Bombyx mori: one gene and its partner. The protein of the gene in region 1 interacts with the protein of each later gene in a pairwise test. Links are inferred from orthologs where the notes say so. Each region holds a gene or a part of one and is shown on either strand. Other genes may lie near its edges. The genes, in order: DNA-directed RNA polymerases I and III subunit RPAC1 and probable DNA-directed RNA polymerases I and III subunit RPAC2.

What was found.
Region 2: the proteins of DNA-directed RNA polymerases I and III subunit RPAC1 (region 1) and probable DNA-directed RNA polymerases I and III subunit RPAC2 interact in a two-hybrid assay, tested with the Drosophila melanogaster proteins (2 studies listed by BioGRID). The link is inferred for Bombyx mori from reciprocal best matches to the Drosophila melanogaster genes Polr1C and Polr1D.

The regions. Positions count from the first base shown.
Region 1 is NC_085131.1:5,578,741-5,582,679, reverse strand, and holds the start of DNA-directed RNA polymerases I and III subunit RPAC1, read right to left. Parts: upstream 2,398-3,939; 5' UTR 1,800-2,397; coding exon 1,746-1,799; intron 1,667-1,745; coding exon 1,366-1,666; intron 985-1,365; coding exon 865-984; intron 393-864; coding exon 210-392; intron 114-209; coding exon 1-113.
Region 2 is NC_085119.1:4,439,280-4,443,218, forward strand, and holds the start of probable DNA-directed RNA polymerases I and III subunit RPAC2, read right to left. Parts: upstream 2,466-3,939; 5' UTR 676-2,465; coding exon 661-675; intron 399-660; coding exon 298-398; intron 1-297. UniProt on the Drosophila melanogaster protein: DNA-dependent RNA polymerase catalyzes the transcription of DNA into RNA using the four ribonucleoside triphosphates as substrates.

The DNA of each region.
Region 1 (3,939 bases):
AGAGTCAATACCAATAACACCTGGTGAGAAACAACTCTGCAACAGTGTGGCTTCACTGTCACAAACTTCACGAGTCAGTGTTACCTCTGGCAGCAATCTGTATGTAGCTGTTGCTGTAGAATAAAATGGATATGTTAGTTAAACCATTTTTTTTAATAATTAAAATAAGCTTATCTCATTTTATAAAATATTCATAAGAAGGGACTAACCAACAGGTGAAAATTTTGCATGATCCTTTCCTATGCCCTTCACGGCAATCATTTGAAGGTCTATTTCATGGCCAGGTCTCATTTTTGATATAAGAATATCCTTATGTACAGGACCCACATCAGCTTCTTTATAAACTGTAGCTTGGTTGCCAATTGGATGCCACTTCATATGGGATGAATAAACTGTATAAACATATTTGTAATTAACTAAGTATTAAGAATAACAAAATCATCTAGCATTATATAAAAAAACTATAAATATAAATTTCATAGATTAGTCCATAGTTCAAAAAATCAGCTCTGTGTTCTGTCCTATCAGCATACAACAATACCACTCTATATCTTACCATGGTGTTGTTACAGGTGGCTAAAAAATTTACCAGAAAATGGCAGTAACATTCTATAAGTTTGGTATTGGTAGTCATAATTTATCTTGTCCATTTCTACTGCAAAGGAATCCAGTTTGTAAGGATAGCTGTTTTGCTATGGAATGGAAACTTCAATCCCATATCTTAATGTGAGTGAATCACCTATATCTATGCACTGCAGCAAGCTTAATACCAGGGCCATATGCTGATCTGCGATCTACTGTTATATTAAAAACATTAATAGGCTGTTTGTTACACATTATTATATTGATATACAGAAAACTCACTACTATGATTTTCATACAAATCTTCAGCTCTATATGAATCTTTTGGTTGTGACTTGCTATTGGTACATTTTACTTTTAGTGAAAATTCTAAAGTGTTGAATTCTGTTCCTTCCGTGTCTTCTGAAAATAAAATTTCAAATTATTTACAAGAGCTGCTCAAACAATTCTTTTATTTTCTGTTAACTTTTTTTATTTCATCATAGTTACAATAATAAAAATGGACCAGGCATCTTATCCTTTAGGCTGTGAAAACTTTACTGATTATGAGATATAAATGTTTATTGAGGTATAAAAGTGAGTATTTAATAACATCTTGCATTCCAGCTCTAAATTGTCAATTTTAGGATACTAGAAAAATGAATATTTGTGGTTTTATTAGTGTACTAGTTTACGTAATTGATAAATAAAAAATAATTAGACAACCAATTTCACAGAAAACAATCATCTTCCAAAACGAATGCCCACATATGGTCTCGGCTTTGTAATAATTTGTACACAAACCTTCAGATTTATATTCAAACAATCTTGGATCAGCTTTGAGAGGAATCAATCCTAATCTGTGTGCTAAAACTTCATCCTGTATTATAGAAGTGTTGTTCTTGATCATTACTTTTTCAATAGCCATACTAGGAACTTCACTTAACATGAGTCTCCGGAATGCGTTCGCAAATGCTGGCTGGATCCCAATCAAGTCAAATTCCATTTCGAAATTGTCCATTCGTACTACAACTATCTTAAACTTCTTCACAAACTTTTTGAAGTCCCATGTTTCATCGTCTAATCCGTAATCTTCGGGTGCATTCTGTACGGGCAAAAATTATTAGGTTATGATCATGTGCATTTTTATCGTTGTAAATAAGTCTTGCAATTTAAAGGAGAACCTTAACACGGAATTCTTCAAGAAAAACTCGGGGTTTTTCATCGAATTTAGGCATTTTTGCAATATTTTACTAATTAATGTAAATAAGGTTTTATCTTATTTCACAGGTATACAGTAACGTTTACTGTATATAAAGTTTGTCGCATATTTTTATACAGATATAATTGACAAAATTAAATATTTCGATGATTTTACGTAAGGTAGTGATCATAGATTATACACTTAAGTAGTGATTTTAAGTAATTTTTAGTAGGTAATTTAAACTTTGACTATGTAGTAAGTAATGTAAGTTTGTACTTATGTAGGTACATAGGTACGGTACCGGTAAAATGGGGCGATTAGGGATTGACAGGCGAATCGGGAAAAAACCGGGAAAATCTTTCGACGCTCAATATAAGTTTTATATTCGTTGCAAAATCTTCCATTTTTTGTAGTTTAATAGTAGAATGTTGAAAGTTCACAAAACAACTCTGAATATGCATGATAATAGCTGCTAACTTATAAAAAATCGCGTTTCAAATTAACTTCCTGTGGTGGTCATTATTTTAGTGCTAGAAACTTTGCTCTCTTTTATTTATTTGATAATAATAGAAGACGACTATGATTTATAAACGTTATTTAGTGTTTGAACCAGCATATATATTAAAGGTAAGTCTCAGTTGTTATTGCTTTTAATGTATTTGATTAAATAAAAATACATGTAAAAATCTGTTGTTTTTGGGGTTATTGGGGACGTCTTAGGTACAAATAACAACGAAAAAGGGGTCAATTGGGATGAGAATACGTGAAATGGAAACGACCTAAGTATAAATAGGTACAGGTTTGTAGGGTTGTCTATGTAGTTATAACAATATTTTTTGAATTTGTTGGTAAATATCTGGTTTATTCGAAGCGAAATTGGGAATAAGTCTTTATTTGAAATAGATAAGCAATTTAATATAAGTAAGTCGATTTTGCAGAGACATGTAACAAGATCAATGAAATCTCAAGGTGGACAAAAATGTCTAAGTAATACATAATAAAATATTTAATATTTGTTCAGAGTGGGGGTATTCATCTGATTAATCCATGGAATAACCGACACACCTAATCTCTTAACCCAGATAGAAATATCAGCACTGTCGATTGCACCTATAATTGAGGTGATGTCTGCCATGTACTTTTGTCAGTTTTTCATTTTTTTTTATTGATGATCACTTTGTTGGTGCAACTAAATAAATAAATAAATTAAAACTATATATAAAAATAAAAATAGTGCCAACCCTAGCAAATTTCTCATTACATCCCAATTAACCGCAATTTTCGGGTAAATAGAGATTACACCTATTTTTGCATTTTTTGCTTAAACTGGAATGCTAGTTGCATAATTTTAAATTAGACAACAAAGATGCCCCCAAGACTCAATCATTTTGATCCTGATATAGCATTATATACATCAACAACTACCTTAAAATTGCTCATAAAGTTGGAATTTGTCCCTAATCGCCCCATTTTACGGTACGGTACCGTACCGTATTGGAAAATAAATAGAGGTTTTTACTTGTTTGAATTGACAACTCGCTGGGCAAAAGGATCAAAGACCATACAATCCTAATTTTTGTTACAGTAAGTGAAGTCGTGTCTGTTTTATGTAAATCGAAACAGAAAGAAATGAAAAAAGTGTGTGTGTCCGCTCCGACGCACGACTGGAGTTTACTGGATATAAAAAATTAAACGAAACAATACGAGAAATAGTTCTATATTACGACAACACGATACACTACAGATTATTAACAAATTAACGAGACACAAAACAAACGACTAACAAATATATGAAAATACAATAATGAGAGAAACGCGCGATCAGTACGAGGCTTTGTGGCGGACTGCCGGCGCAGCAGCCCGGCGTCACCTGCGATAACGCGGCCGCGCGTTGGCTCCTGATTGGCGCGCGCACGCATCACGCAATCAGGAGCCAATCAGGCGCATAACGCATTTCGTGTGACATGCTAGTACGATTTTGGTCCCCATAATTTTCATACCCCGGGCCTATATATGTAAATCGATTCTAAAGGAGTAAACTCCAACAAAAGGAAACAAAAAGAAATCATTATTATTATTATTTTTTTATTTACTTAAGAAACGCTAACATTATTAACTTTAAGACGACTTGTTGACAAGAATGTGAGGAACGAGGAGGGAAGTGTGAATTATTT
Region 2 (3,939 bases), on another chromosome or scaffold:
TTTTGGGCCACTGAAACTTTTCTCAATTACACTCATAACTAAAATGAGGCAGTAATTTTCATAGTTTCTATAAGTTAGGAAACCACATGACTTTGTATTGGTAGGAAGCGAGGTAACAGCCACTAAATGTTATTTAGAAACAAAAGATTAAAATGTTTCTTGTTTTAGATAGCATTTGTTGAGTGTGTGCAATTGATGTCATATTTTTTGGTTTTAAAATTGGAATATCATAAGCTATATCACAAGTTTCTTGTGAATGTTTGGCTGTTTGTTACTTATATGTGTACATATACTTACTATTTGTTTATAATACATTTTAATGAATTCCCTAATGTATGGCTTTCATTTCGGAAGACGTATGTTCTGCAGGTAGGCCCTGAATCGTCATCACCAGGAAGCTGAAATAACATGAATAAAACATTTCAATATCTTAAGAAGAAATTGTAAGTACCATGGTCGGTATAAGAACTTAGAACGTTTCTTTTAATTAGGTATTTTTATAATTATGGTAGAATAGTAATGATTTTAACAATTAGTTGTCTATAATTTTATACTATAAATTAAGATGCACAACTGAATGTTAGATTTTGTGTATTACTTATGTAGTGGCTTAGTTTATTAAATTAAAATAATTTTATTTATAACGTATTTATGCAGTACCTCAGAAATGTTCATTCTGTTACTTTTTACAATGACTGTTTGGGTAATATTATTTTTTAATTATTATGATCGGTATATACCGTATTCAATTCTGTTAGTTTTTGACAAAAAAACTAGTAGTAGTTTTATTTTTCCAATTGGAAAGGCAAAGATATCATACCATACAGCCTAACCATTTATTTATAATTTTTTTATATGAAAAATTATATTATGAAATGTAATCATATGAAATGAGATGAGATGATATGGAATGAAATATAATCTCAGTAAAATGGTGGTCATTTACTGAGACTTTCAGTGACTTTTTGGAGGATCCAGAGAAGTTACGTCCAGCGGCTTTATTTAATGTTCATGTGCACATTTGTGCACTTTCACAGATATTAAACTGTTAATAAACCACCATTATTACACATTTAAACCCGAAGAAACACTAAATAGACAAAATAAAACAAATTTATCTATCTCTTAGGTTTATGGCGTAAAACAAATCACACAACTTCAATCCTCGCGCTCCCGCCAAAAAGTCTTACAAACCAGTGTTGCCGCTGGGCAAACATTGGGTTGCCGTACTGGAGAAAAAAATCTACCGTATTTAAATAAAAATTGCCGTACAAAGTAATTCAAAATTTCAAATTTCAATTAAAAGTATTTTATTATTTATTTTATACTAGAAATTAAAACAGTATATATTTTTCACTCCTCTCTTCCCATCAAATTTGTATTATTGCCTAAAGTAAGTTCAGTTTCAATAATCTAATTTTTTTCGTAATTTGATGGTTTTTTCCTTTTATTATTCATTTCGGGGGTTGGCTTAAAGTTCGCACAGTTTGAATGCTTTCTGACAATGCACTGTTTTGGTAATAAAGTTCAATTTATGGTATATGTTAAGAGGCGGTTTCTTTGTTTTGTTTTGATTAGGTTTACTGCATTGAAGATTCTTTTTTATACACATTTTAATCACTATCTCACGTATCGCTACACTGCTCTTTTTCAAAAGTTAAAATTAAGCTACACTTGCTAGCACAAGCAATGAAACAAGAGCGAGGCGGCGAGGCGACTTGAGGAGAGGATTTAAAGAGCAGGCGTTGTAGATTATAGGGAATTCCTCGTACCAAACATGAAACATTGTCTATTATAAAAGTTGGATGTGTTCATGTTTACGCTAAAAGTATCCACGTTCTGTAATCTCTTTGGATACATTAATTGTTTTTTAACTTTATGCTCTTGTTAGCCGACTTAACCTAATAGGTGTATGGCACTAAAAAGGAATTAAAAAAAATGTTCTTGTTGCCGTATTTTAGAATACGGCAATGACCACTCTGCCGTATGCCGTACAATTTGTCTTTTAGAAGCGTGATTGCCGTACGAAACGGCAATTGCCGTACATTTGGCAACGCTGTTACAAACTTTACAAAATATCAAAAATGCTTTTTGTTATAGGATTTTATGACTTAGTAACTAAGACCTTTAGGTCAACATATAAAAAATGCACATTTAAACATGGATATTACACGGTTGTGATAATAATTAGTCACAACAGTTCATGTGACTATATTGTTATAACAGTTGTTATTTTTTATTTATTTTTTTATTGCCTTTGTAGGCAGACGAGCATATGGCCCACCTAATCGTAAGTGGTCACCGTCGCTCATGGACGTCAGCAATGTCAGGGGCAGAGCCATTCCGCTGCTTACCATTAAGTAATCTCCGCAAGCCTCGTTTGAAGAAGGACATATCATAGCGCTTAGAAAACACCGTGGAGGGGAGTTCATTCTAAAGTCGGATGGTATGTGGCAAAAAAAGAAAAAAACTTAATCCTACCTAAGAGAGACCATGTCAGGCTCACCGGACTATTAGGTGAGCTCACGGGGCTCAAACCTGACGATGTTGCTAACACGAACCCTGTCAAGATCCGTGCTTCACAGAATCTAACACCGGATCGGAAACGCGACCCACTGAGGAGATCCGGCGAGAAACTCTGTGGACTGTGTTTGTGAGTTAATTTACTCGCCGAGCCCTTCGTCGGAAGCGACGCCGACGGGTTCGACGAGAACGTTTGTAATATGCGCTCAAAACTATGATGTTACTGTTAAATTACCGATACGTTATTGAGTTTGGAGTAGGACTATATTGAAATGTACTTTAGATTATTCCTAGAATAATAGAATTATACATTTTATTTATAAAAGATAATTTACAAACATTTAAATGTTAATCAATGCTAAGTAAAATCATTCATTAACTTTCTTCCAGGAATTCTCGTTGGATTCAACATTTATAGTAGTTTAAAGTATAATTAAATCTACTTTTACGGCTTAATCTCGTTTTTTATTTAATGTTATTCTATTATCCCTGACGAGTCGAACACTTTACAGTTTTCATAATCGTGTATTTAGACGTCAGGCAAGTTATATAATGACAATAAAAAACACTAGATTAAATCGTAAAAGTAGTTTTATTTATGTCTTGACTCGTATGAAACAAAAAAAAATACTATAATTTAAACTACTATCTAGTGGCGTCTTTATTAATTAAAATTTTAATGTTTGCCACGTTAACAAAATATAAGACAGTATCAAGTCCTAAGCCCCGACCGCACCCTGCTTTCCTAAACATTTAATGAAGTGCTCATAACATCTAAAGTAATTTCGCTTTATATCCTTTGTCGCACATACATAGTAGAGTTTATCTCATCATTACTCCGAGAGGGTTCTCCGCTAGTAATCTTTCTTAGAGTAAATTAAACTTTGCGGGTTGCGGCCTCGATTATGTAGACGGCGTCACGTCGTTGGGCGTGTAACCCAGGTATATCGTAAATAATATGTACATACTTGGTTTTGTTTCGAGAATAAAACAATACTGTTGTTTAAGCTTAGAAATAGTCAAAATTAAAATGAGCGCAGCTTTCTCTATCCGCCGAACGAATGCGCGAATGAACGAATGTAAAATATTACCTACATAAGTAGGTATACAACAAATGATTTTGGTAAACTAATTTTAAAAAGTAAGTCTTTAATTTCGCCTTTTAGGGTTTTACCGAAACCCTAAACGTCGTGGCTTCGACCTCATTATCAATTTAATACCGGTACGCTGTGAATAGTGATACCTATATGAACTATATCCTGTCAGATTTTAATTTACATACATTTTAGGTGGTCGTGTTTGAGGTGCTATGAAATAGTACCACCAGCCGTGGTGTGCGTGTCATAAAAGGACGACTAAGGTGGTTACCGGAGATTGGGCAGAAGCATGGTCTGAGTAGTATACCAGCGTATTCTT